Linked DNA regions of Solanum lycopersicum. The protein of the gene in region 1 interacts with the protein of each later gene in a pairwise test. Links are inferred from orthologs where the notes say so. Each region holds a gene or a part of one and is shown in the gene's direction. Other genes may lie near its edges.

Region 1 (8,287 bases):
GTTGTTGATACTCTCATGAGTCTTCTTCTGCAAAATTCACAAAAAAAAAAATCCTAATTTAGCATTTTCATGATCCGATTCGTCCACACAAATCGATTGAACGAAGAATGAGATACTTACGGTCTTCTTTGCAGCCACCATCGTGGATTCCGGTGAGAAAGAACAACGTCGGAGATGGAGGATTTGAAGAAGCAAATTACGTCGACGGCGGCGAACGAACCCAGAAATGTGTGAAGAGGTTTGCAATATATAAGCTGATGAAGTACTCTAGGGTTTGGGTTTGAAGACTTAAAAGCCCAAATTGCCATAGTAATACCCGGCCCATATTTTATCAACCCAACACATTTTTTCCTTATTTTGCGTTAGTCTTTAATTTTTATCTTTTAACGGAAATAATCTTTTTTATGAAAATACAAAATTTAGAAATAATAAATAATAGAAAACTTTCAAAAATAACAAACGTTATGCATTAAACAGGGTTCTATAGTTATAGTTTATTCAATTACGATTAATAGCAAAATATTAGGGGAGTAAAGACGCTAGATCTGAGAGAGAGTGTATTTATTCGCAGATTTAGTAGAAAAAAATACATCTACAAATTGATTATATCAAAAATGAGTACATATTAAAAGGAGAGAGGTGAACGAGATCGAAATAGGGAGGAGAGAAGCGAGTGAGATCGAGGGAGGGAGGCCAGTGGATTGTATTTTGTATTTGTTTTGTATCAATTGTATTTGGAACACAACGAATACAATTGTATGCATCCTCTCTTTGTTTGAATACAAATACATTTTGAAAGAGAGAATGAATTCATATTGTATTTCGTATGATTACAAATACAATTGATACAAAAAATACAAAATACAATTTTTCAAAAACAATTAAAATAAGATTCAAAGCTTGTATATATATTTAATTGAATACAATTGGAGAGAGAGGTTGTTATAAAAACAATATATTGTTGTTATTGTTTTTTTTCTTTTGTAATATTTTTGAACTAATTCTATCTTTTCATAAATGAGTTAAATTTTTTACTTATTCCATAATTCTTCCATAAATAATTTTTTTTTATTTGGCTATACTTGATATCTATAAATTTTAATTTTAATTGTGCATCACTAGATATTGAAATTGTCCAAAGAATGTAACAAATAAACACGTTCAAATATTTTAGGTATTATAAGATTGAAATGCAAACACTTTTACATGGAATGGATAAAAATAAGGGATAATTGTATATAATAGCAAACTAATAACCTAAAATAAATGGAGTAACTACGGTTTAATTTAATTATGCTCCATAGCAAACGTTCGCCAAAGTTTGTCAGTCGCCTCTCTCCCAAAAATCTCGTTCGCCACTCTCCCTCTGCTCGCCTCTCTCGCTTTATACACAGAAGTGTATAAATTGTGTTTCTGTTTTGTATGAAGCGGGAAAAAATTGTATATACACATGCAAAAACATATATTTTCGTGCTATACACTTAATTATACAATTTACAAACATTTTACTTCAATTCAATTGTAGACAAATGCAAATTTTATACAAATATTGCAGCGAAAAAGGCCAGCGAATTATACAATTGTAGTGAAATACAATTTTCTCTCGCTTTATACAACAGAAGTGTATATATTGTGTTTCTGTTTTTGTATAAAGCGAGAGAAAAACATATATCTTTTTCCTATACACTTATAATTATGCAATATACATACATTTTACTTTGTTTCAATTGTATGCAAAATAAATTTTATCAATGTCTCTTCATGTTATCTCAACAATCAAAAGAAATTAGGAGACATTAATCCCAAAATTAACATCTAAACAAAAGCTTATAGTTTCAGATTTTCTATTATTGAATATTATGCATTAAAATTTCGATCATGAATTACAACAAACATGAAAGGAAAACAACAAGCAACAATAGTATTTGTATTTAAATTTATGTGAAGGCTGCCATCTTTATAAAATCTTTAAGAAAACATATGTGATTCCCTAATTCTTTTCTTCAGAATTGTTTTTGACTTGATGAAATACTTGCGGCTCAACATTTGAAGCAGACTTGCAGAGTCTTATAGAGACCTCTTTATATATGTTTGAACTAGAGTTTTGGAGATATTTTGGTCCAAACAATTTTGGCCCTTTGGCTTGAAGAACATGAGTATTTGAGCTCATTTTGTCAACTTGATATATTGGTCCAAATATAATTTGCACTTGATTTAAGTCATATAATTTTAAATTAAATATTAATTTAACTTTATTAACCAATAATTTTACTTTCTATGATAAATTTAAGATTTAATATAAATTTATTAATAAAATTTCATTATCAACAAGATTTAAAATAGACCTGAAAACAGTGAAATTGAAATAATTGTATTATATAGCCAACTCTAACTAGTTAGGACATGATTGTGAAATTGAGATATTGGATTCATAGATCCAACTCGAGCTAGTGAACTTTATAATTAGGTATCGTATCTAAGTTAACACAAACTAAAAGCATTTATAAATAATTTAGCAAGATTCATATAAGACAAATAATTAAAGATCTTTGTTAATGATATTAAATATTATATTTGAGATATGTATAGCCTTTTGAAAATATATTAATTAATAAACGTATGTTCTTAATTAATATTATAAAAAATAAATTATTTATATTTTTTATTTAGTATATTTTAATTAAATTAATTATTAAAGTTAAAAGCACATCATGAAATGCGTGTTTGACAAAAAGATTAATATTATAAATATAATATCATAAAATTATAAAAACATTTAACAGAAAGATAATCTATCAAGTCTAACTAAAAAAAATAGTATGCAACATAAAATATCTGGTCAATACTTCTAAAACAAATGAAATTGAAAATATAACATAAGTTATAAATTTAAAACAAAAAATTTAATGTAATACTCTTATATCAAATTCCAACATAACATACCTCAACATGATTTAAAAAAAAAAAAATATAAGTTCATAACCTTATTCAACAATAAATTCTACTCTAATTTAAAAATTAAAATACTAACAAAATTATACTGATAAAAAATTCTTATAGATAATACGAAAAATTATATGAAATCATATGAAGTAATGATTGATAATGAGAAGGAAATGAAATATAGATAGTATAAAATATAAATGTATATTTTTAGAAAACAATTAGAATATTAATAAAAATAAAAAAGAATTTAAAATAATAAAATAAAAAATAAATTTAAACGAAAAAAATTAGAAATATAAGGAAGAAATAATCAACTTATAATTACACCATTTAATTATTATCAGCAATTCGCAACTCCTCTATGATTAAAATAATGTAATTATCTCTGTCAATTACGCTCAATTACCTGCTGACCAAGTAATTAAATAGATGACCAACCAAACATGCCATACAATGTAATTGCACTCAATTATATCAAATCAGCTAGCAAGCTGATTTTCCAAACACACCTTAAAGGTTTTTAGACAAAGCAGAAGAAAGAAATTTTTGTTTCACATAAATGGATTCACAAGTGTCTTCGTAAAAAACTACATGTTTCTCAAATGTTCATTCACATTCAAATATGTTTAGATCTCCTAAATACAATTTATGTTATTTTTGGTATAAATACCCACACGCGCAGACACCCACATGTACACGTACGCGTATATTCGCGCACACTCACCCACGCGCACATACACGCAAACACATACACACACAAATGACCCTTTTTTTTTTAAAAAAAAAACTTATAACTATGTTATTTTTAAAGATTTTTAAAATTTATCAAAACACTCGGAAATGGAGGATAAAATTTGTATAGTAGAAGTGAAATAGAAAAAGTTAGTGGAGTTAAAAATCAAAATCTTCTTTTTGTGGGGAAATTAAGTAATTGAAGAATACTTTTGGGGTTGTAAATGAAAACCTTTTATCTCCTTAAAACTCAAAAATCTTATTTACTTTCCACTCCCTCACCAATCTTTTATTCTCCATTTGTCACTCTTAATTTCCACATCTACAAACAAACACTGCACTCTCAGCTAGGGTTTCTCTTCCCGACGATTCACCGCCACCGTCGCCGCCCATGGCTGAAGTAATGGACGCTCCGTCGGAAGGTTTAGAACGCCGCCGTGAACGAAGCAAGGAAAATCCAAACAAGTCGACGGAAGAGCCACCGGTATCTTCTCCACCACCGCCTCCTCCTCCTCCGCCGTCGAGGCGTGGCCGTGATAGAGATTCACGGGAACGGAGGGATGACAGGGATTTTGATCGTAGAGGTGGTCGTGGGGACTATTACGATCGTAATCGTTCTCCTCCTCATCATCCTCCTGGTCGAGAGCGTGACTACAAACGTGGAAGGCCTAGCCATAGCCCTCCTCCTCCTCTTCCTCCTTATCGTGACCGACGTGGTGGATATTCTCCTCCTCACCGTCGTTCGCCTCCATTTCCACCTTATAAGCGTTCTCGTAGAGATGACTATGATGGACGCCGTGGAAGTCCTAGAGGTGGTTTTGGGCATGGTGATCGAAGGTAAATTACGAAGCTTTTTCTCCGCATATGATTGGAAATTCTCTTATAAATCTTCGATTATCAGTCTGTTTAGCCAATCAGTGGGATTTCTTATGGATGGCCGCAGTTAGGTTGTTACTGAGGCATGTTATGGCTATGTAGTAGGATTACATAAATAATTAAGTGGAGGATGGCAGACGCGCAGACTCATGATTCACCTTGTTTTAAGCTGAATAATAGTAGATTTTTGGGACCTGGGTGATGAAAGGAAGGAGTAGGAAGAACTTATTTACTATATAATTCAAGCTGAAAAATAGTAGATTTCTGGGACCTGGGTAGTGAAAGAAAGGAGTAGTAAGAACTTATATACTATAATAAATATGGTGAAATATAGCATTTGTTGGTCCATTAGTGTGTTGGATTAGTATATGCAACAGCAATACAGTACACTTTCCAGGGCATTACCCATTTCCCCTAAGAAATTGCTATGAGAATGTTTAGGTGCTGACAAAGGTTATGTTTGGGCTTTTTGAGGGTTCAGTACTATTAGAACAGTGGTGTAAGCTGAAGAAGTTAGCTTCTGTGAGGTACCAGTTTTGGTCCTTCCCATAATGCACATATTTTTTGAAAAATGTAGCTTCTCTGAGGTTCCGGTTTTGGTATGGTGTATAATGCTCATATCTGATTACACCTTAATCATGTACTAGATAAGTTGGTTATATCAATTTCCTACATTTATTCCGCCCACTGTGTCTGTTTCATTCAAATACTAATGGACTCTTTAGTGATGACCGACAAACCTTTTGTTTAGTTCAAGCTCAATGACATGTTGATGACAGATGCTGCAATTCTGTCTGTCTATGCTAGCAGACATATTAAGGTGCCAACATTGTATGTAAACATGAAATTGGAGGATGTTTTTTTTTTGAGAAGCTATCAAGTTGGATGTATTAAGCACAAAATGGTAGCAAGGAGGAGATACTTCTTCCTACTTGATAGCTAATGCCCTGGGAGAAGCTGGCCATAGTGCTCTGATTTTTCCAATGTCCGTCTGCCTGCGGCGGCCCTCCTATAATTGAATACCATTCATTCAATTGAAAATGTTTCAATGCGGTTACCCTCTTCCCTAGTGCACTGTCTTCCAAATTAAATCTGCATAACCATCTCATCGAAAGGCTCGTGTTTTGTGTCCTCAAGTTCTTGATCCCTAATCTTCTTCCATTCCTCCCTTTTTTTCTTGATTGATGTGACGGTACTCCATTCGACTTGGAGGAAGTTCTTGAACTTTTTCTACCCTGATGGGTATTGGACAAAGAGACATAATATAAGATGTCATGGAATTAAGTGACCCAAAGAGAGAGGTATTGTCTCTTCCAGTTAGCCAATGTCTTTTCACATTTCCTTATAACACCATGCCAAATAGAATCTGCTACCTGTTTTGCCCCTTAAGTCATCCCCAAGTACTCTGTGGGGAGACTTTCTATTTGACATGCAAGATTGGTAGCCAAAACCTGCATATTCTGGACTGAATTAACTGTAAACAAGCTGCTTTTGACCAGTTAACATGGTGTACTGATACAGCTTCAGAAGTATTTAGGATCACGTAATTGTTCGCATAATTACATGAAGGAGTACCATCCACGCCTTTGGGAATATGAATTGCTGTTTTTTTTTTTAAAATTTTTTTTTGGAGTTCTTAATACTCTACTTGCATTTAACACAGTGCTGTCTAACAGGATTTGTCAGTAAAAAATATGTTGCTGCATACTCTAGTGAACAGAAAACAGCCTGGGTTAAGTTATTTCTAGTGCTAAGCTTTATAAAATGTAGACAATAATCAACACTCATTTGGAAACCCTATGACCAGAGATCAGTGATGACAGAGTAATCGTAGGAAATAAAAGGATTATATGGACTGTAAGTTATGCGTGAAATCCTCCAATTTATATTATTGAGGAGCAAATGGAAATCCGATAAAATTTTTTAGGTCCGCTGCAGCTTTCAAGAAAATTAGTTGATGTTACGGTTAGGAATTCTCACTCAGACCACTGGTGATCAGGAAAATAGATTCTACAAGCTGTTATTTCACCTCTGTAGAATCTAGGAACCATGGTATTATTTTGCTGTATACCTGAAGAGTTGCAGAACAATCTTAGAATCACCTTATAACCTTCATAGCGTAATTGTTCGACTTCATTTTAACTTACCAACTTTTATTCTGAAGCTAAAATCATTCACTTTCTTAGGTTTCTAAACATTAGATTAGAGATTACGGAGTGTGTTAGATCTATCAAGCAACCTTTGATATGTTGGTGCAAGTTTCCTGATGTTAGAGAAATCCAATATGAACACAAAAAACTGTTATCTAAAGATATTTGTATTTTTCTAGCTTACTCTGTAGTGAGTTCTTGCATCCAATGACATATGGTGATAATTTTTTGATGAAGTAGTGGTATTTCAATTGAAGAACCATCAAGAAGATGCATAATCACAAAAACAGAAATAGAAAAGTACATATCAAAGAGTTTGTTATCCTCGTTACAGTGTGTCAGTCCATTCTAGGGAGCTAAGAAAGTTCTAATATCAGCAACTGCTAATTACAGGTGTTAACTTAACCAGCTAAAAAGGATAAGCAACATTTTTCCTTGAGAGTGTCATTTGGAGTTGAGAATTTCATAAGATCACGTTTGGTTCTTTTCGCTCCACAAACACCAAAAAATAACTACAGGAATCATCAACTAAATGTTCTTGATGGGCTTCTCAACTCTCTGTGAACTTCTTCTTTTATAAGTCTCTCTCATATGATGTGGCATGACCCAATTCAAACCAAAAATACAGTAAAACATATTCTGCAGTTCAGTGGCCACTGAACAATGTAGGAAAGAAGCGACTGACACTCTCCAGGAGGTTGACTGCTGGAAGCCTTTTCTGTGAGGGTGTCTTGTGTTAAACATGACCCAGTTAGAATAGTCCAAATTGAAGCATATAACCTTGGTGGGCAATTCAGTTTTCTGTATCAGCTTCCATGACCAGAGGTCATTAAACTTATTCAGGATCACATCAATGGTGAACATCTTTATTCTGGCGAACTGCAAACATATCCATTTCCCAACAGTGTATTGACCTTTTGAGTTGCACTTCTCAATTACTGTCAAGTCTATTTTGTGCAAGGGAGTCCTTACTAAAGAATGACATGCACAGATTAGAACAGATAAAAGCACGATCAGCCGTTTATTTGTTAAATAAGAACAAAAATATACCTGAGGAAACTAACGAATTTCTGCCTCTTTTTCTTGTCTTTATTTGCACACTTCTCTAGTCGTCCAAAGTAGCATCATTCATTGTGTTTTCTTTATTATTCATGCTTTTATGGCATTTGTCCTTTTGCATAATTCTTGTCTTGCAATTTTTTTGCATTTACAAATCTGATCTTTTCTGTTGTCAAATTATCTTGCAAGTGTTCTTATGATGGTGCTTACGAAATCTTCTTGATATTGCAGATATGGTTATGACCATCAAGGAGGTTATGACCGTGAGATGGGGGGTAGACCTGGTTATCCTGATGAGAGGCATCATGGACGATTTGCAGGACGCTCGTCTGGTGGCTATCGAGGAGGAGGTCAGTCTCATTTATATTTTACTCTCATGGAGTATCTGCTATCAGTGGGCGTGTTAAATGTGTAGTGTTTCTGCTTTGTAAAGTCTTAACTTCTATTTGAGTAATATGTGTTTTTGGGGTGCTTTATGTAAATATTCGTTGCTCTATAGGATTTGTTTCATTTTGTTTTCTTAG
Region 2 (7,761 bases), on another chromosome or scaffold:
GCAGTGTGAAGTTGAGAAAGGGATGGACTGATGGATAGGGTTCTATTACAGGGTTCTGTTGAAGACTAAGTTGCTCGGGCTCTTCACTTTAGGTGCCGCACACGTGTTGACACGACATGGGTGTGGTATCCGTACCCTGTATGGTCAATCTATTTTGGTACTTAGACCATATTCGAAGAAGGAATGCCGGATAGATTTATTGATTTATTTATTTAATCTAAACAAAAGTTAAGGTGAATTTGAAGAAAATCAAATACCTTGTATATAGAAATTTCCTTTTAGCTCTTTCCGGATTTCCCTCTTATCGATATTCTCTCCTCAAGCTTTCCCACATACTACATCCTAATTTAGGTTTTATAACTCTACTTTTAAATATTTGAATTATTTTTAGTCGAACCACCGCATTCGTATCCATACCTATATCCCTATCATCGAATCTCAAAATTTAGATCATGATGAATTGGACCTCTAGATCAGCACCGGAGTCCGAGCAACTTAGTTTAAGTAGCAATCTGTCCTTGTATTTCTTGTCAAGCTGAGGTTTCTTTTAAGAACTAGTGAATCTAATGTAGATTACTTCTATTCCTGCATTTGTTTTGTAAATATCAGGTTGGGATTCTTGCTTCAGGGGTCTATACTTGAAAGAGGACTCGAAGAGTATTTGAAGCTCTTTTACAATTGATAGCTTTCTGATATGATGAACATAAAAAGTCTATTTTGTTTATTTTTTGAATGTAGAAGGTCTACTCTAATTGTTCCTATACATATATAAAAAGGTCTATTCAAATTGTTGCAAATAGACAAACATTCTGAAAGCTTTTCACAAATACATCTTCCATGTCGTCTGCAAATGTATCATTTGTAGCTTAGATTTTTGAGAGGTCTTTCCTCTGATATGTGGTATTTATTTTGGCTCTTTCTCGTTGTCTCCCTATCAAATGTCAATTGCTTGCTTATCAAAGTTATTACCGTGTATTTTTTTAATGCAGACTGCAGTGATGTCACTTGGAAGAGAGGAACTTCATTTAGTCGCCATGCAGTCTAAGAATATTGGCGGACAATGTCCTTGCTTTTGGGGATTTAAGGTTGCATCAGGGCTTTATGATTCTTGTCTAACAATGCTAAACCTCAGGTGTCTTGGCATTGTATTTGATCTTGATGAGACACTCATAGTTGCCAACACAATGCGTTCATTTGAGGATAGAATAGAGGCCTTGCAGCGGAAAATAAATTCAGAGTCAGATCCGCAACGTGCCTCTGTTATGCTGGCTGAGGTCAAGCGTTACCAGGAGGATAAAATTATTTTAAAGCAATATGCCGAAAATGATCAGGTTGTTGACAATGGAAAGGTGATCAGATCTCAGTCTGAGGTTTTCCCCGCATTGTCTGATAATCACCAACCTATTGTCAGACCCCTGATTAGGTTGCAAGATAGAAACATTATTCTTACTCGTATTAATCCAATGGTATGTGGACTTTGTACTCTATCGTCTATACCATGTTATCCCTGTTTTGTTAATCGTGTCATTTATGGTCCACTGATGACTAGTTGACAGCCAGATGAGGAATGCAAGTCATTTGTAGTCTTACGTTTACTGTTGAAAGGGGTTCAGTGATAGGACTATCCATTTCTTTCTCCCCTTCCTCTTTTGCATTAAACTGTTTTATGGTCTGTAGCTTTATCATACTTTTTTTGGGGGGATGCATCACATATTCTTTCCATGGCAGATCCGTGATACTAGTGTTCTTGTGAGATTGAGACCTGCTTGGGAGGATCTCCGCAGCTATCTGACTGCAAGGGGTCGGAAGCGCTTTGAAGTTTATGTGTGCACAATGGCTGAAAGAGATTATGCTTTAGAAATGTGGCGCCTTCTTGATCCAGATTCAAACTTGATTAACTCACAAGAACTCTTGGATCGTATTGTCTGTGTCAAGTCTGGCAAGTTTCTAAATTACAAAACTTTCGCTAGTGCATTGTTCTTTTTCTCTCTAATCACTGACTTTTCATGATTATTTTGTAGGCTTGAGGAAATCTTTGTTCAATGTATTCCAAGATGGAAATTGTCATCCTAAGATGGCATTGGTGATTGATGATCGCTTGAAAGTGTGGGATGATAAGGATCAACCTCGAGTGCACGTTGTTCCTGCATTTGCTCCATATTTTGCCCCTCAAGCTGAAGTATGTACCACATTCTCTTAGTGTTTCTATGAGATGTTGAACTATATCATATGTTAACATTCTGAAGTACTTGAATAATTTTACTGTAGGGCAACAATTCTGTTCCTGTTCTTTGTGTTGCCAGAAATGTAGCCTGCAATGTTAGAGGTGGTTTTTTCAAGTAAGATTTTAGGAGATTACCTGGTGCCAATAATCTTTATTGTCCAACTTATTTTATCTTATTTTATTTAGATTTGGTCGTCTCTTGGGGTTAGTTTCTTATCTAAATTAGATTTACTTGGTCTGACTTTATGCAGAGATTTTGATGAAGGCCTATTACAGCGAATATCTGAAGTTGCATATGAAGATGATATTAAACAAGTTCCTTCTGCTCCCGATGTTAGCAACTATTTGATTTCGGAGGTTAGTGAGGATGATGTCTAAAAGTTTCCATTTCTCTTGACAGATCTTAGTTTTTATGATTATCTACAATATGGATGATAAAATTTTGCACCAATTTAAAAATTATTATGAATATTTATGAGAGAATATATTATTTGCTTGTCAGGATGATCCTTCAGCTGTAAATGGGAATAAAGATTCACTTGGATTTGATGGAATGGCTGATAGTGAGGTTGAAAGAAGACTGAAGGTACAATAATGTTATATTTGAGTCTTGTACTCAGTTTGGGTATGTGTATCCACACTTTTCATGAGGTTCAGAAGTGCTGGATGTGGTTATTCTGCTCTCTTGATAATTCATTCCTCTGTACAGTGTAATCTTTTCTTCTAGCATGTAATGGAACTTGTGTTCTTTGTGATACTGTAGCGTAATATTTAGTTATCTCGACCTTTCAGGAAGCAATGTTGGCTTCAACAAGTGTTCCTTCTCAAATGACAAATTTGGATCCAAGACTTGTACCAGCTCTCCAGTACCCTGTCCCACCTGTTATTTCACAACCAAGCATTCAAGGCCCAGTGGTGCCTTTTCCTACTCAACATCTCCCTCAAGTGACTTCTGTACTTAAATCATCAGTGACTCAAATAAGTCCTCAGGATACAAGCTTGCAAAGTTCTCCTGCTAGGGAAGAGGGTGAGGTACCAGAATCTGAATTAGATCCTGATACAAGGAGGAGATTACTTATATTGCAGCATGGTCAAGACACGAGAGATCAAGTATCAAGTGAACCAAAGTTCCCTATTGGGACTCCATTACAAGTATCTGTGCCACCACGGGTGCAGCCACATGGTTGGTTTCCGGCTGAGGAAGAGGTGAGCCCTAGGCAACTTAATCGACCCTTACCTCCCAAGGAATTTCCTTTAAATCCAGAGTCTATGCATATTAACAAACATCGGCCTCCTCATCCACCTTTTCTTCCCAAAATGGAGACTTCTATGCCATCTGATAGAGTTTTTTTTGAGAACCAAAGGCTGCCAAAAGAGGTGAGTTATCTATTTGTTAATGCCAACAGCTTTGAAAATTCATTTATCACGAGTAACTTATGACCTAACTGTTCTTTTTGGTTTGTTTCCATTTTGGTTTCCAGGTAATCCCTCGGGATGACAGGATGAGATTTTCCCAATCACAACCTAGCTTTCGCCCACCAGGTATGGCCATGAACCACGCTTGAGAACTGTTATGTAAAAGCTTAAGCATTTTGATTCTTTAACTTAAGATGGTTTCTGATTGGTACATATGTTGACCAAAAACTGTTTCTTAGTTTTCACTTTTCCTTTAAGTTGCTTTCAGAAAGCTTGTTAAGTACTTGAAATTTTGCAGTAATAGATGCTATAGTTTATAATCCTTGTCAGAACTCAGAAGTGGGAACTGCTGAAAAGAGGACAAAAATAGGTTACCCTACAATATTACAATTTTTTGGAGTATGGACCTCTTTTAACACCCAGAGAAACAAAACTAAGCAGTATGGGCTCATGTTGAGTGCTTTTGTTAGCCTCAGCCCCCTCCCAGGTTTCTTCTTTTATTATGAAAGCAAATGTGATTTTGGTTTTAGGAGTGCATTTTGGCATGCATCTTTCTGCTTAGGTTTATACAATGACCATGCCTTGTCCAAGTCTTGATGGACAAAGTTACCTTGTACCTGTGATGGTGGGAGTTAGCAGGTACTCCATGGGATTAGTCATGATGTGCACAAGCTGGCCCTGATGGGGTCAGTTACATGAATCCTCACAGACGATGAATATAATATCTCAGTGTTGATCAAAATAAAAGTGTTTTTTAATGTGTACAAGCTAAATAACTACACTTTATATTCTTATAAAACAAACACATGAGACTTTAAAAAAGAAAAAGCAAATAACAGGTCTGTTATGCAACTATGTGATGTCACTGGACGAAAAATATGAGACAAGCTAAATCTCTATTCAGAAATGGTGTTAAAAAGTTCTAGTTTCACAGGTGAGGATGTTTCCTTGGGTCGGTCATCTTCCAGCAACAGGGTTCTTGACCTTGATCCTGGACATTATGATCCATATCTAGATACACCTGCTGGAGCTTTACAAGATATTGCATTCAAGTGTGGAGTGAAGGTAGTGCTTCCCCTATGTCCAGTCATCAGGCAGCACTAATGTAAAGTTTCCTCCCTTCTATTTGTGATTTCTCTGAATGCTTATGGAAAATACATGCAGGTCGAATTCAGATCAAGTTTTCTTTCGAGTCCAGAACTGCAGTTCTGCTTGGAGGTATGCTGATTACATATATCCTAGTTCTACTATTCCAATGAGCTTTAAGTCTCACCTTTACTTAATGAAGAATGTACCACAATAGTCTTATGGGCCTTGTTTCTGTCTTGCCTGTGAGCTCTGTCAAGCCATGTTTTAGTAGCATGAATGTCAACACTTCTTTTGTGTTGTTGGACAAGCTCCCTATCTGATTTTCTGCAATCTTTTTTACTGAGGTCTATCCATCTTATTGAGTCATAGTTTGTATTGCTTGTATAGGTGTTGTTTGCAGGAGAAAAGGTTGGAGAAGGAATCGGCCGGACGAGAAGGGAAGCGCAACGACATGCTGCTGAGGAATCTCTTATGTATCTGGCCGGTAAGTTTGTTGTGTTGTGTCATAATTTACTGTAGGAAATGATCTGACTTTTCAAAGGTTGGCTTTACTGTGATTAGATTTCATCACCTTGTATTAGCTTAACCTACATGCACTTCCACGGTTATAGAGTGTTCTTTGAGCAAACCTGGTGATAGAGTGAAGTTATGAACTGATGTTGTTGGCACTTGGAGTTGTGAGTATTCCTGTGCAGTCTTTAAGATGATTTTATGCTGAATTTGAGTTAAGTGGATCTTATTCCACTTGACTGTGACATCTTTCAGTGGTGAATTTTGTTTCATCTATTGGGAAAATTATTTAAATTTTGAGAGTAAGTTTGAAAAACTCTTAGGAGTGATAAGAGTCAAGCTAAAAGGCTTTCATGCTTCTGTGAAGTTCAACTTTTCCTGCTCTACTTAGTTCTGCGTTTGAGTTGTCTGTATCAAAAATAAATAGTAGTTTGTTGGGTTGTTACTCCAATTTATGTACATTTTTTTGTGTGTATATATATATGTGTGTGTGTGTGTATATATATGTGTGTGTGTGTGTGTATATATATGTATATATATATATATATATATATATATATATAAAATCAGTTGGATTGGCCTTCATCACTTGTAAATGGGCCTCACACCGTTCCCCCCTCCTAACCAAAATAATAATAATAAAAAAAAGAGGTTTTGCATTATTTGCATAGATGCTGCTTTTTTCTTCTTTTCAAGGAGTCATCCTTCTAGTTGTGTGCATAATGCTTCAGTAGAATATTGTAAAAATAATGTGTGGGGTTTTGTTGACCAGTCCCTTTCCTGGAAAAGGGTTCAGAAAGAGGAGGACATTTCTTTTTTGGGCAGAATAGTTGGTGATCACATTACTTCACGTAGGACTCTTGAGAATTTTAATGTTGATGTTAATTGTTTAATCCTTGTGTTAAGGAACTCTTTAGAGAGATGACAGGTATCTAATTTTGGCCTAATTTGGTATTGATATGACTTAGCCACGATATACTGTGGTTGGAGAGGATGGGGGGTAAATAGTTATCATTGTTCTTGCTGAATAAGCACTACACAAGTCTTATATAGTGTGCTTGTTGGCAAATCAGAGGAATATTTTCTTATTAGCAAACCATTTGCAATATCCATGAATTTTAGATGTCCATCGGGTCAAATGTTATGTTTCCAAATAAGATTGATGATTTTGACATTTTCATGTTGCTTTTACAGACAAATACTTGTCATGTATCAAAGCTGATTCCAGTTCCACTCAGGGTGATGGATTTAGGTTTCCAAATGCAAGTGATAATGGGTTTGTTGAGAACATGAGTCCTTTTGGGTATCAAGATCGTGTCTCACATTCTTTTGCATCAGAGCCTCCCAGAGTGTTGGATCCAAGGCTTGAGGTTTTTAAGAAGTCAGTGGGTTCAGTTGGCGCCCTAAGAGAACTAGTAAGATTTTATAAGCTTGCTATGTTAGTGTACCTTATTTACCTCAGTTTTCTTTTGATGTCTTGGGATGTGCCATTTATTATTTTGATTCTTTCAGTGTGCAATTGAAGGACTTGGTTTGGCATTTCAAACTCAGCCTCAACTTTCAGTTAATCCGGGCCAGAAAAGTGAAATATACGCCCAGGTTGCCTATTTACTTCCTTTTCTTCTTTGTATTGCTGATTAATCGAAATATGCTTTGCTGTAGTGTTAGGAACTCTTTTCATCTTTTCTGACTCATGGCTTAGAGGCGATATACCATTTATTATTTTGAAATGATTGCAACCTTTTGCTTCATTCACGGGATGGATCTGGGTCATTTATCCTTTGCATTTAGTTCTCTCTCTCTTATAATCACTATAGGAAAGATTTTATTAATCTTGAACAGCACTAAGATAAATATTGAATATGTTTAACAAAAGTTCAAGAGATAGTATCCCATTAGCATGTTTTCTGTATTTTTTTTTCAAATATTCCAGTATGCTAGTAACATACAGTATTGAACTTTAATTTACTGATGGCTTCTGTTCTGTTCTACAAAATCTGCTTTCCTTCCTTTCCATGTTCCAGAGAATACAAACATGAATTGGTTTTCTATATCCTATTTCTCTATTTACTCTGGAGTCCCCAGCCTCAGCCGCCTCTTTTTTTCTTCTCCTCTTTTGTATATTGAAGGCCATCATTTTGGTTGGGAGAGGGGAGTTAGGCCCTGACCCCTTACTTAAAAGTCAGACCCCTTTATCTCGAGCTTCCAAATAGCTTCTTGGTCGGTCTTTGACATTGTCCATTTAACCTTGAAAACATTTCTGGAACTGTGTCACACTTGGAATTGACTTATTTTCCTCTATTTCCCTCTCTCTTAGATAGCATCTGTTGAAGATGAATTGCCCCTTTTTCTGCAGCTTGTCCTGTGTCAAGCAAACATCCATGCTCTGTGAGCTTAAAAAAACACTCTACCTTCTGCTGTACCACTTATCCAATATTTCTCCATTACCAACTGTACATTCTCTAGTATCAATGCTCTGTAGCAGGATTGTACTGTAAATTCACATTTCTTGTCCTGCAACA
Region 3 (8,378 bases), about 79 Mb from region 1:
GATAAATTTGAAACAAAAGAAGTTGCTCATTGAGAATTTTCTAAATTGACAATCACGTGTTACATACGTGTTGAAAAACTAGTTATATTTTAAGTTATGATATCATCAGAAATTAATGATTTTTCTTCTTCTTCTTCTTTTGAATGTGTAGTGTTTGGAATCTATTGCTTCTTTATTTTAGTTGAAGAACGGTGCTCGTATTTGTGGAGATGTCCGCCCATAGGGCCCCAACTGCTTTATCCTAAAACGACTCACAAGCTAATCGATATAGTTGGACCTCATTACAGGATACATGACAATCATATATATTAAATCGATAAGTTTCAAACAAAAGAAATTGCTCATTGAGAATTTTTTGAATTGACAATTGACAATCACGTGCAACACACGTGTTGAAAAACTAGTTATATTTAAAGTTATTATATTATCAGAAATAATGATTTTTCTTCTTTTGAATGTGTAGTGTTTGGAATCTATTGCTTCTTTATTTTTGTTGAAAAACGGTGCTCGTGTTTGTGGAAATGCATGCCCATAGGGCCCCACCGACTTTATCCAAAAGCTGCTCATTAGCTAGTAGAACTATCAGACCCTACCAATAGATAAACGACAAATACATATATTACATCGATAACTTTCAAACAAAAGAAGTTACTCATCGAAAATCGAAAAAAAATAGAAAACGTGATTGGCCAAGTAGGACAAAGAAAGTCCTCCGACCTGATCGAAGCACCAAAAAGTTTTGAGTACACCTCGATACTACATAACTTAAATAGCTTAAAAGGAAAAAATATCTGAAATATGTCTGAATTTTGATTAGAATTGTTGTTATGATACAAAACTTTGGAAATGATCTTTTGCCCCTTTGCTAATGAATAATGTATTTTAAAGGTATATATGTGTTCGCACGGACATAAAAGATATTGCATAATTATAAACAGTACTATATTCACGTGAGCACATATATATCTTTAAAATATACTATTAAATAGTGAAGGGGTAAAATATTTTTGGAACTCTTTTTCCTTAACTTCAATACCTTAAAATTAGAATCAACCCACTATTAGGGCCCGTTTGGATGGGCTTAATAAAAGCAGCTTTAAAAAAGTACTTTTAAAAGTGCTGAAACTTATTTTAAAAATAAGCAGTTATGTGTTTGGATAAAAGTGCTGAAGTTGTTATGTCAAACGTGAAAAGGGATAAATGGAAGAAAGAAATGTTAGGGTTATATGGGTAATTTGGAGATTGTATAAAAATATTAAGCACAAAAAGATAAAAATGTGGTCAACTTAAAACAGCTTATAAGCTAAAAATAAAAAAGCACCCATACCCCAGCTTTTAACTTTTGGCTTAAAATAAGTTTTTTTTAACTTAAAATAAGCTGTTTAGAGTATTGCCAAACAGCTAAATAAGTCAAACACCAGCTTTTAAGTCAGTTTGATCAGCTTTTAAGCTGAGCCAAACAGGCTCTCAGTGTCATAATCCTCACTAGAAAGCTATTTATTTATTTGAGAACTCCTAATATTTGATATCCTTATTTACTTAAAATAATTTATTTTCATTTCTCACGTAATTCAATTAAAATGATATCCAACATATACTTTCCCATCTTGCAAGATAGTCTGTTTTTCTTTTTGATATTTTAAATTATCAAAATAAGTAAATTACAGGTTATTTCCATTTTTAAATTGCTGTACACATATGATAGCCAACATTTGATAATTAAATTAATTACACAAAAATAGTTATGTGTTTCCTAATTAAAAAAACCAATATTATTTACCACTCCACTATTTTTACTTTTTTTTTTTGGTCCTCGTAATTCATATTCATGGATTTAAGTTTGTTTATTTTTGGATATTCCTAGCCACTAAGACATTTTTTTTAGTGTTGATCTTATTTTGATATCAAGATTCAATTAAATTTATATTTGTGCAAGAGTTATTTAAGATATAAGTATATATACGTTTATTTCTAAAAATTCAAACTCAATTCTCTCTTCGTAACTAATCTTATCGACATTATTATTTAATTACAAATGTGGTAAGTTATTATGTCCAATAGAGTAAAATAAAATACGTGTAAATAATCTATTTAGATTTTTAGGATTCAAATATCTCTTTTCACGATTTCCTTTTCATAATTATAGTTGCCAAAACAATATTTATCAATTTATGTGATTTTCTTTTATACATTCATATTTATACAATTCAGACAAAAATCAGTTAAAATTCGAATTGTAAAATTCTGAAGTTATGCTCTATATAATAATTTTTCAAATAAAAAGTCGAATGAATTCCTTTCGCGCATATTTCAATAAATAAATTATTTTACTTTTAATTTAACATTTTTTTATAACATACATAAAATAAAATATATGTTAAAATTAATATTTCTTAAATTGGTATTATTTTTTATTCTTATTATTATTATACTAAAAAGAGACTGAAAATGCAAAGCCAAATAGGAATATCCGTCGACACACGTTATTACGTAATCAGATTTCCATATATTATAAAATGTTGGTATTTTGGTAAATATTACGTTTTCTGAGGTTAAATGAATTCCACTAACCTAACCTCTCTATACCTTAACCAGCCCTTAACCCAAGGTAAACCCAAGTTGTTGAGCAAAAAGACAACAAAAATTTAAAAGAATCCATACATACAAATTACAAAAATAATTACAAAAACAAAAATGTAACCAGTTCCAAAATAGTATTCAAAATTAATTTAATTGATTATCAACATTAAATTAAATTAAAAATTTAGATATTTAATTTTTTTTTTATAAAAGTACAATAAATTGTAAATTTTCTCCATATCTATATGATAAAAATATACAATATTTATATTATTTGATTTCTTAAAAGAAGAGTGATAAATTTTTTACCAGTCAAAAAATCTTTTATAGCGTTCACATAATTACTTGTAATGTAATAATATAGTCTCACTATAGAAAAATAATCACATCAATTATAAAGGTATTTATTTATTTAAATAATAATGATATCTATTAATCATGATATGATAAAATAATAAATACTTATTATCATGCTATAACAAGTTAAATTACCATATTTTAGATTTTGAGTTTCACAAGCTCATTAATCATCGCACATTTTTCATTTTTCATTTATATTACTTCTTTATATGACTTTTTTAATTTCATATTCATAATATATATGTCAATTTACACGTATATAATTTATTTATTATTGCTCATCAAATACATTAATAGAATCCATTAAAACTTAGATAAATAGAAAACTCTTTTAAGGGGAATATAATTTACAAAAATATTGCAAATTTTTTCACAAAATTAATTTTTTTTTTTCAAATCTCTAAAAATTGTTTGTTGTCATTTTAATGTAATAGGAGTAAAAAAAAAAAAAGGGAAAAAGGAGAAGCACATAGAAATAACAGCTGTTAGGGCTTGGACTAAAAATGCAAACTGCGTGAAAATTCACACATACACACACCAGACAGCATATATAGAGAGAGATTCCGGCAACTTCGGAAGATCGCCGGCGACTTTTCCGATCTTATCATAGGCCCACAGATTCGCGCCAAAATCCATTCACCATTACCCTCAGCAAAATTCTCGGTAGCTTTTTTTATCAAGAAAATAAGGAAATTATACATACAGGAAAAAAGAGAGAAAATTTTTATAGATAAAGTACAGTTGTGTGGGACAGAGAGGTGTAGAGAGTGGTGAGGTAAGGGGGGTGGGTGGTTGATTTGAACCTTGGGGATCGGGGAAAGTGGGAAATCTTGGGTTTTAGGAAACTACAGGGGTTTCCACTGAAATTAATGTTTCATTACTTATTTTCTTGATGATGGGGTTCTGAAATTAATCAATTAAATTTCAGGTGAGTTGCAACATTTTTGGAGGAAATAGAATTTTTTGCTGAATTTTCAAGGGTGCATGCAATCTGGGGGTGGAGCTCAGCAAGGTGGTGTCGCCGGCGCCGGTGGTGGACATGGGCGGAACACGGCGGCATCAGCCTCAGCTTCTCCAACATCATCTTCTTCTGCCTCTCATATGGGGTTGGATCAGCAGCAGCTGCATCAACAGCATCAGCGGCAGGTTAGGGTTAACAACTTTTTTTCTGAATTTTACTTGTGCTTTTGAGGAAGAGGGGGTGTTTCAAGTGGCATTTTGTTTTTTTCTGAAGTAGGATTGATGTTTGTTATTCTATTTTGGAAGTGGGTTTCGCATAAGACATCAAGTTCTTTTTTTTTTTGTATGATGTTGTTCAACACTAGGTTTGAAGTGACATGAATTTGCTTGCTATGTGAAAGACATTCTTTTTCTTGTTCAATTAGCACTGAGATGCCAGCTGCTAAACTACTTAAGCTTTGGAAGTAGGAGGAATTTGAAAATCTTTGTATGAAGGAGAGAGTGATTTGCTTTTTGTAAGAAAGAGCATTTTTTGTGCTGAAAAATGTATTAGCGCTTGTTGATTTTTAGAGTTATCCAAAATTCACTTTTCAGAGAATTAACTCTGTGTATCTTAGTCTTCCCTCTAATGGAAGTGTTAAGTTCCACCAAGTACGTATTGTCTAGCATGTTGTGATTCCTATTTTTCTTTTTCTTGATAGATAGTTCCACCTTTTCTTCCTTATTTTAAGTGCTCGTCTCTGCCAGGTCTTTAATATTTTAACCTTGACCTATTCAAAAGGTTTATATTTCCAACAGTATTGGAAGTTAATGTGATTCTTAGCTGCAATGATGTTCTCAACTCATACCAGATTAACTGTCATTGCTTCGGTTATGGAATGCAATCTTCTATTTCGTCCATCCACATGACACATTTTGTCCATGTGATTCTTAACTGCAATGATGTTCTCAACTCATACCAGATTAACTGTCATTGCTTAGGTTATGGAATGCAAACTTCTTTTTCGTTCATACATGATATGACACATTTTTTCCATGTGATTCTTAACTGCAATGATGTTCTCAACTCATACAAGATTAATTGTCATTTCTTAGGTTATGGAATGCAAACTTCTATTTCGTCCATACATGATATGCCACATTTTGTCCGTGTGATTCTTAACAGCAATGATGTTCTCAACTCATACCAGATTAATTGTCATCTCTTAGGTTATGGAATGCAAACTTCTATTTCGTCCATACGTGATATGCAACATTTTGTCCATGTGATTCTTAACTGCAATGATGTTCTTAACTCATACCAGATTAATTGTCATTTCTTAGGTTATGGAGTGCAAACTTCTATTTCGTCCATACATATGACACATTTTGTCCAAATTTGATACTTAATGATACTCTGAAAAGTTGTAATTGTCCTCATTTCTAAAATTTTACTGTATTTGATTTCTGAGTTGATTATCCTTAACAGGAAACACATTTATTAAAAGTGAACTGAAGAAGACGAATTGCAGCACAGGACGAAATAAGATGTTGCTTAACTAAACCAGAGTATTTTTGTCCAATATGTGCATAGAATGCTGCAAATTTCCCGAGAAATTCTTTCATGCTTTTGACTGGCAGTATTTGTCCTTCAGAATGCTGCAAATTTCCCTAGAAATTCTTTCATGCTTTTGACTGGCAGTATTTAACCTTCAGCATTATCAACTTTGTCAGTCATACCAGTTTCTCTCGAGTTTCTTGTATGCTATATTGTTATAATATTTTTCCATGTACTTTTGTTGCGTTGTTTGCTTCCAACTACTGATGTCTGGAGAGATTGTTGTTCCTTTTTTTAAATTATTTTTGAAACAATATTTTACCAGGTATGTTTTCAAATAAAGTGTCAAAACTTGTTATGTTGAATCATGATAGCTGCTCTTTTCGAACTGATTTGTGTTTAATCTTAGTGTCTTATTATGTTCCCCTGCTGAAAATATCGTGGTGGCTTATTGTCAAAAATAAGGAAGATCACAATAATCTAGGTCTTATTTAAATTACTCACCTTCTTTTATAAATAACTTTTACATATCACTTATCGGATATTCGTTTTGTAGTCATTACAACAACAGTTACTTAGAAGGCCTGAAGGAAACGAAGCTATTCTGGCCTTCCAGACTGGCAGTCCCCATGGAATTTTAGGTGGGGGTAATTTTGTTGGACCTTCTGGATCCATGCAGCTGCCTCAGCAGTCGAGGAGGTATATTGAACAGCATGATTCTCCCACCATTCGAGAGGATGGACAGAACAGGAGCCAGGGCTTTGAGCAACCGATGTTGAGTCCTGTCCAACAGGCATACCTGCAGTATGCTTTCCAGGCAGCACAACAGAAGTCCGCTCTTGGGATGCAACATCAGCAGCAAATGAAAATGGGAATGTTTGGGCCTTCTGCAAAGGACCAAGATCCTAGACTTGCTAATATGAAAATTCAGGAACTCGTTTCCATGCAGGCACCGAACCAGGCCCAAGCATCATCATCAAAGATATCCTCTGAGCAACTTTTCTCTCGTAGCGAGAAACAATCAGACCAGGGACAGCAGTTTATGACCGATCAGAGGCCAGACCCAAAGCTTCCTTCCCAGCCAACATTGCTTGGCCAAACGGTAGCTACGAAGCCCATGCAGGCGCCACCATCTCAGCAAAGCATGGCGAACATGGCGAGTAACTCTCTTGCTATGGCTGCACAGATGCAGGCAATGCAGGCAATGCAGGCTCTGGCTTATGAACGTAATGTTGATCTGTCACTACCTGCAAATGCTAACATTATGCAACAGCTAATTCCGCTCATGCAGTCCAGAATGATTGCCCAGCAGAAAGTGCCTGAAAACAATGTGCCAGTTCAATCTTCATCAGGTCATATGCCAAAGCAGCAAGTTTCATCACCTCAAGTTGCAAATGACAGTTCGCCCCATGCTCATTCTTCAAGTGATTTGTCGGGGTCAAGTTCTGCTAAAACTAGGCAGGCTGTTACAACTGGTCCTCTCACTGCGTCTCATAGTGTAGCTTCAGTGAATAACCCAAATAATATTCCTCAGCAGCAGTTTTCTGCTCATGGCAGAGAGAACAATTTGCCTCCTAGACAACCAATTATGGCTAGCAGTGGATTACCTCCGATGCATTACCCACAGTCATCTGTAAACCCAAACCAGGGTGCGGATAACACCTCGCTGCCTAAACCCGCCTCTAATGCCCAAGAAATCTTGCAGACGCAGTATGCCAGGCAGTTGAGTCGACCTTCATCACATTCTGCAGCTTCTTCTCCAGATGGGAACTCGGGGAATCCCCTTATGTCTCAGGGTGGAAATGTCCGTCAGGTGCAACCACAACTGGGTTTCAGTAAGCAGCAACTGCATGTTCTTAAAGCCCAAATACTTGCATTTAGACGTATAAAGGTTTGTACATTACTGTACCTGTCAGGTTTACATACTTTACTTTTCCTTGTTCAAAATACTCAAGTTTGTTATTATTACATATATCTTGATCTTCTTTTTCTTGCTTGTAGAAAGGAGATGGGACATTACCACGTGAATTACTCCAAGCTATAATTCCGCCACCTCTGGATGTGCAAATGCAGCAAACATTTCCACCTGGTGGTATAGTAAATCAGGAGAGAACACCAGGAAAAGGTTCAGAAGATAACAGAAGACCCTCGGAACCAAGTGAGAAGGGTCCTCAGCTTGTAGTACCATCTAATGGACCGAATGGTTCAAAGGAGGAGGTCACAAGAGAGGAGAGTACAGCTGCCGCAACCGCAACCGCAACCGCAACCGCACCTGTGCCAGGTAGCACAACTGAGACAAAGGAGAATGCATCAGTGGTTCTTCCTGGAAAAGAGGAGCAGCGAATCATGGGACATACTAGTAAATCTGACCAGGATGCTGATCATGCTATTAAGAACACTACTGGCAGAGGTGATATTGCACCAGATAGGGGTAAAGCTGTTGCATCACAAGTTACTGGTTCTGATACTACTCAGGTGAAAAAAGCTATGCAATCTAGTGCTACTCAACAAAAAGATACGGGCCCAGCTCGAAAGTATCATGGACCATTATTCGATTTTCCTTTCTTCACTCGAAAGCATGATGGTTTTGGACCATCCATGATGATGAACAACAACAATAATTTAACATTGGGTTATGATATCAAGGATCTTCTAATGGAGGAAGGCTCAGAATTTCACAAGAGAAAAAGGGAGGAAAGTATAAAGAAGATTGGTGATATACTAGCTATTAATTTAGAGAGGAAAAGGATTAGACCAGATCTTGTTCTAAGATTGCAAATAGAAGAAAAGAAACTCCGACTTGCTGGTATACAGGCACGAATGAGGGATGAGATTGACCAACAGCAGCAGGAGATAATGGCAATGCCTGATAGGCATTACCGAAAATTCGTAAGGCTGTGCGAGCGTCAACGTCAGGATCTATCTAGGCAAGTGCAGGCCT

What was found.
Region 2: the proteins of serrate RNA effector molecule (region 1) and RNA polymerase II C-terminal domain phosphatase-like 1 interact in binary tests that used the Arabidopsis thaliana proteins (3 or more experiments, as listed by UniProt). The link is inferred for Solanum lycopersicum from reciprocal best matches to the Arabidopsis thaliana genes SE and CPL1.
Region 3: the proteins of serrate RNA effector molecule (region 1) and ATP-dependent helicase BRM interact in binary tests that used the Arabidopsis thaliana proteins (3 or more experiments, as listed by UniProt). The link is inferred for Solanum lycopersicum from reciprocal best matches to the Arabidopsis thaliana genes SE and BRM.

What each region holds. Positions count from the first base shown.
Region 1 is NC_090800.1:3,476,910-3,485,196, reverse strand, and holds the start of serrate RNA effector molecule, read left to right. Parts: upstream 1-3,735; 5' UTR 3,736-4,069; coding exon 4,070-4,515; intron 4,516-7,994; coding exon 7,995-8,113; intron 8,114-8,287. Other genes in the region: large ribosomal subunit protein eL30, read right to left, coding at 1-27, 121-141. UniProt on the Arabidopsis thaliana protein: Acts as a mediator between the cap-binding complex (CBC) and both the pre-mRNA splicing and primary microRNAs (miRNAs) processing machinery.
Region 2 is NC_090801.1:59,404,433-59,412,193, reverse strand, and holds part of RNA polymerase II C-terminal domain phosphatase-like 1, read left to right. Parts: intron 1-4; exon of another isoform or gene 5-233; intron 234-989; coding exon 990-1,466; intron 1,467-1,728; coding exon 1,729-1,939; intron 1,940-2,021; coding exon 2,022-2,179; intron 2,180-2,268; coding exon 2,269-2,339; intron 2,340-2,475; coding exon 2,476-2,581; intron 2,582-2,726; coding exon 2,727-2,810; intron 2,811-3,016; coding exon 3,017-3,601; intron 3,602-3,705; coding exon 3,706-3,766; intron 3,767-4,574; coding exon 4,575-4,705; intron 4,706-4,804; coding exon 4,805-4,858; intron 4,859-5,116; coding exon 5,117-5,213; intron 5,214-6,433; coding exon 6,434-6,654; intron 6,655-6,751; coding exon 6,752-6,838; intron 6,839-7,761. UniProt on the Arabidopsis thaliana protein: Processively dephosphorylates 'Ser-5' but not 'Ser-2' of the heptad repeats YSPTSPS in the C-terminal domain of the largest RNA polymerase II subunit (RPB1). This promotes the activity of RNA polymerase II.
Region 3 is NC_090800.1:82,010,423-82,018,800, forward strand, and holds the start of ATP-dependent helicase BRM, read left to right. Parts: upstream 1-3,284; 5' UTR 3,285-3,603; exon of another isoform or gene 3,604-3,715; intron 3,716-3,868; 5' UTR 3,869-3,924; coding exon 3,925-4,086; intron 4,087-4,995; exon of another isoform or gene 4,996-5,993; coding exon 5,994-7,328; intron 7,329-7,438; coding exon 7,439-8,378. UniProt on the Arabidopsis thaliana protein: ATPase subunit of a multiprotein complex equivalent of the SWI/SNF complex that acts by remodeling the chromatin by catalyzing an ATP-dependent alteration in the structure of nucleosomal DNA.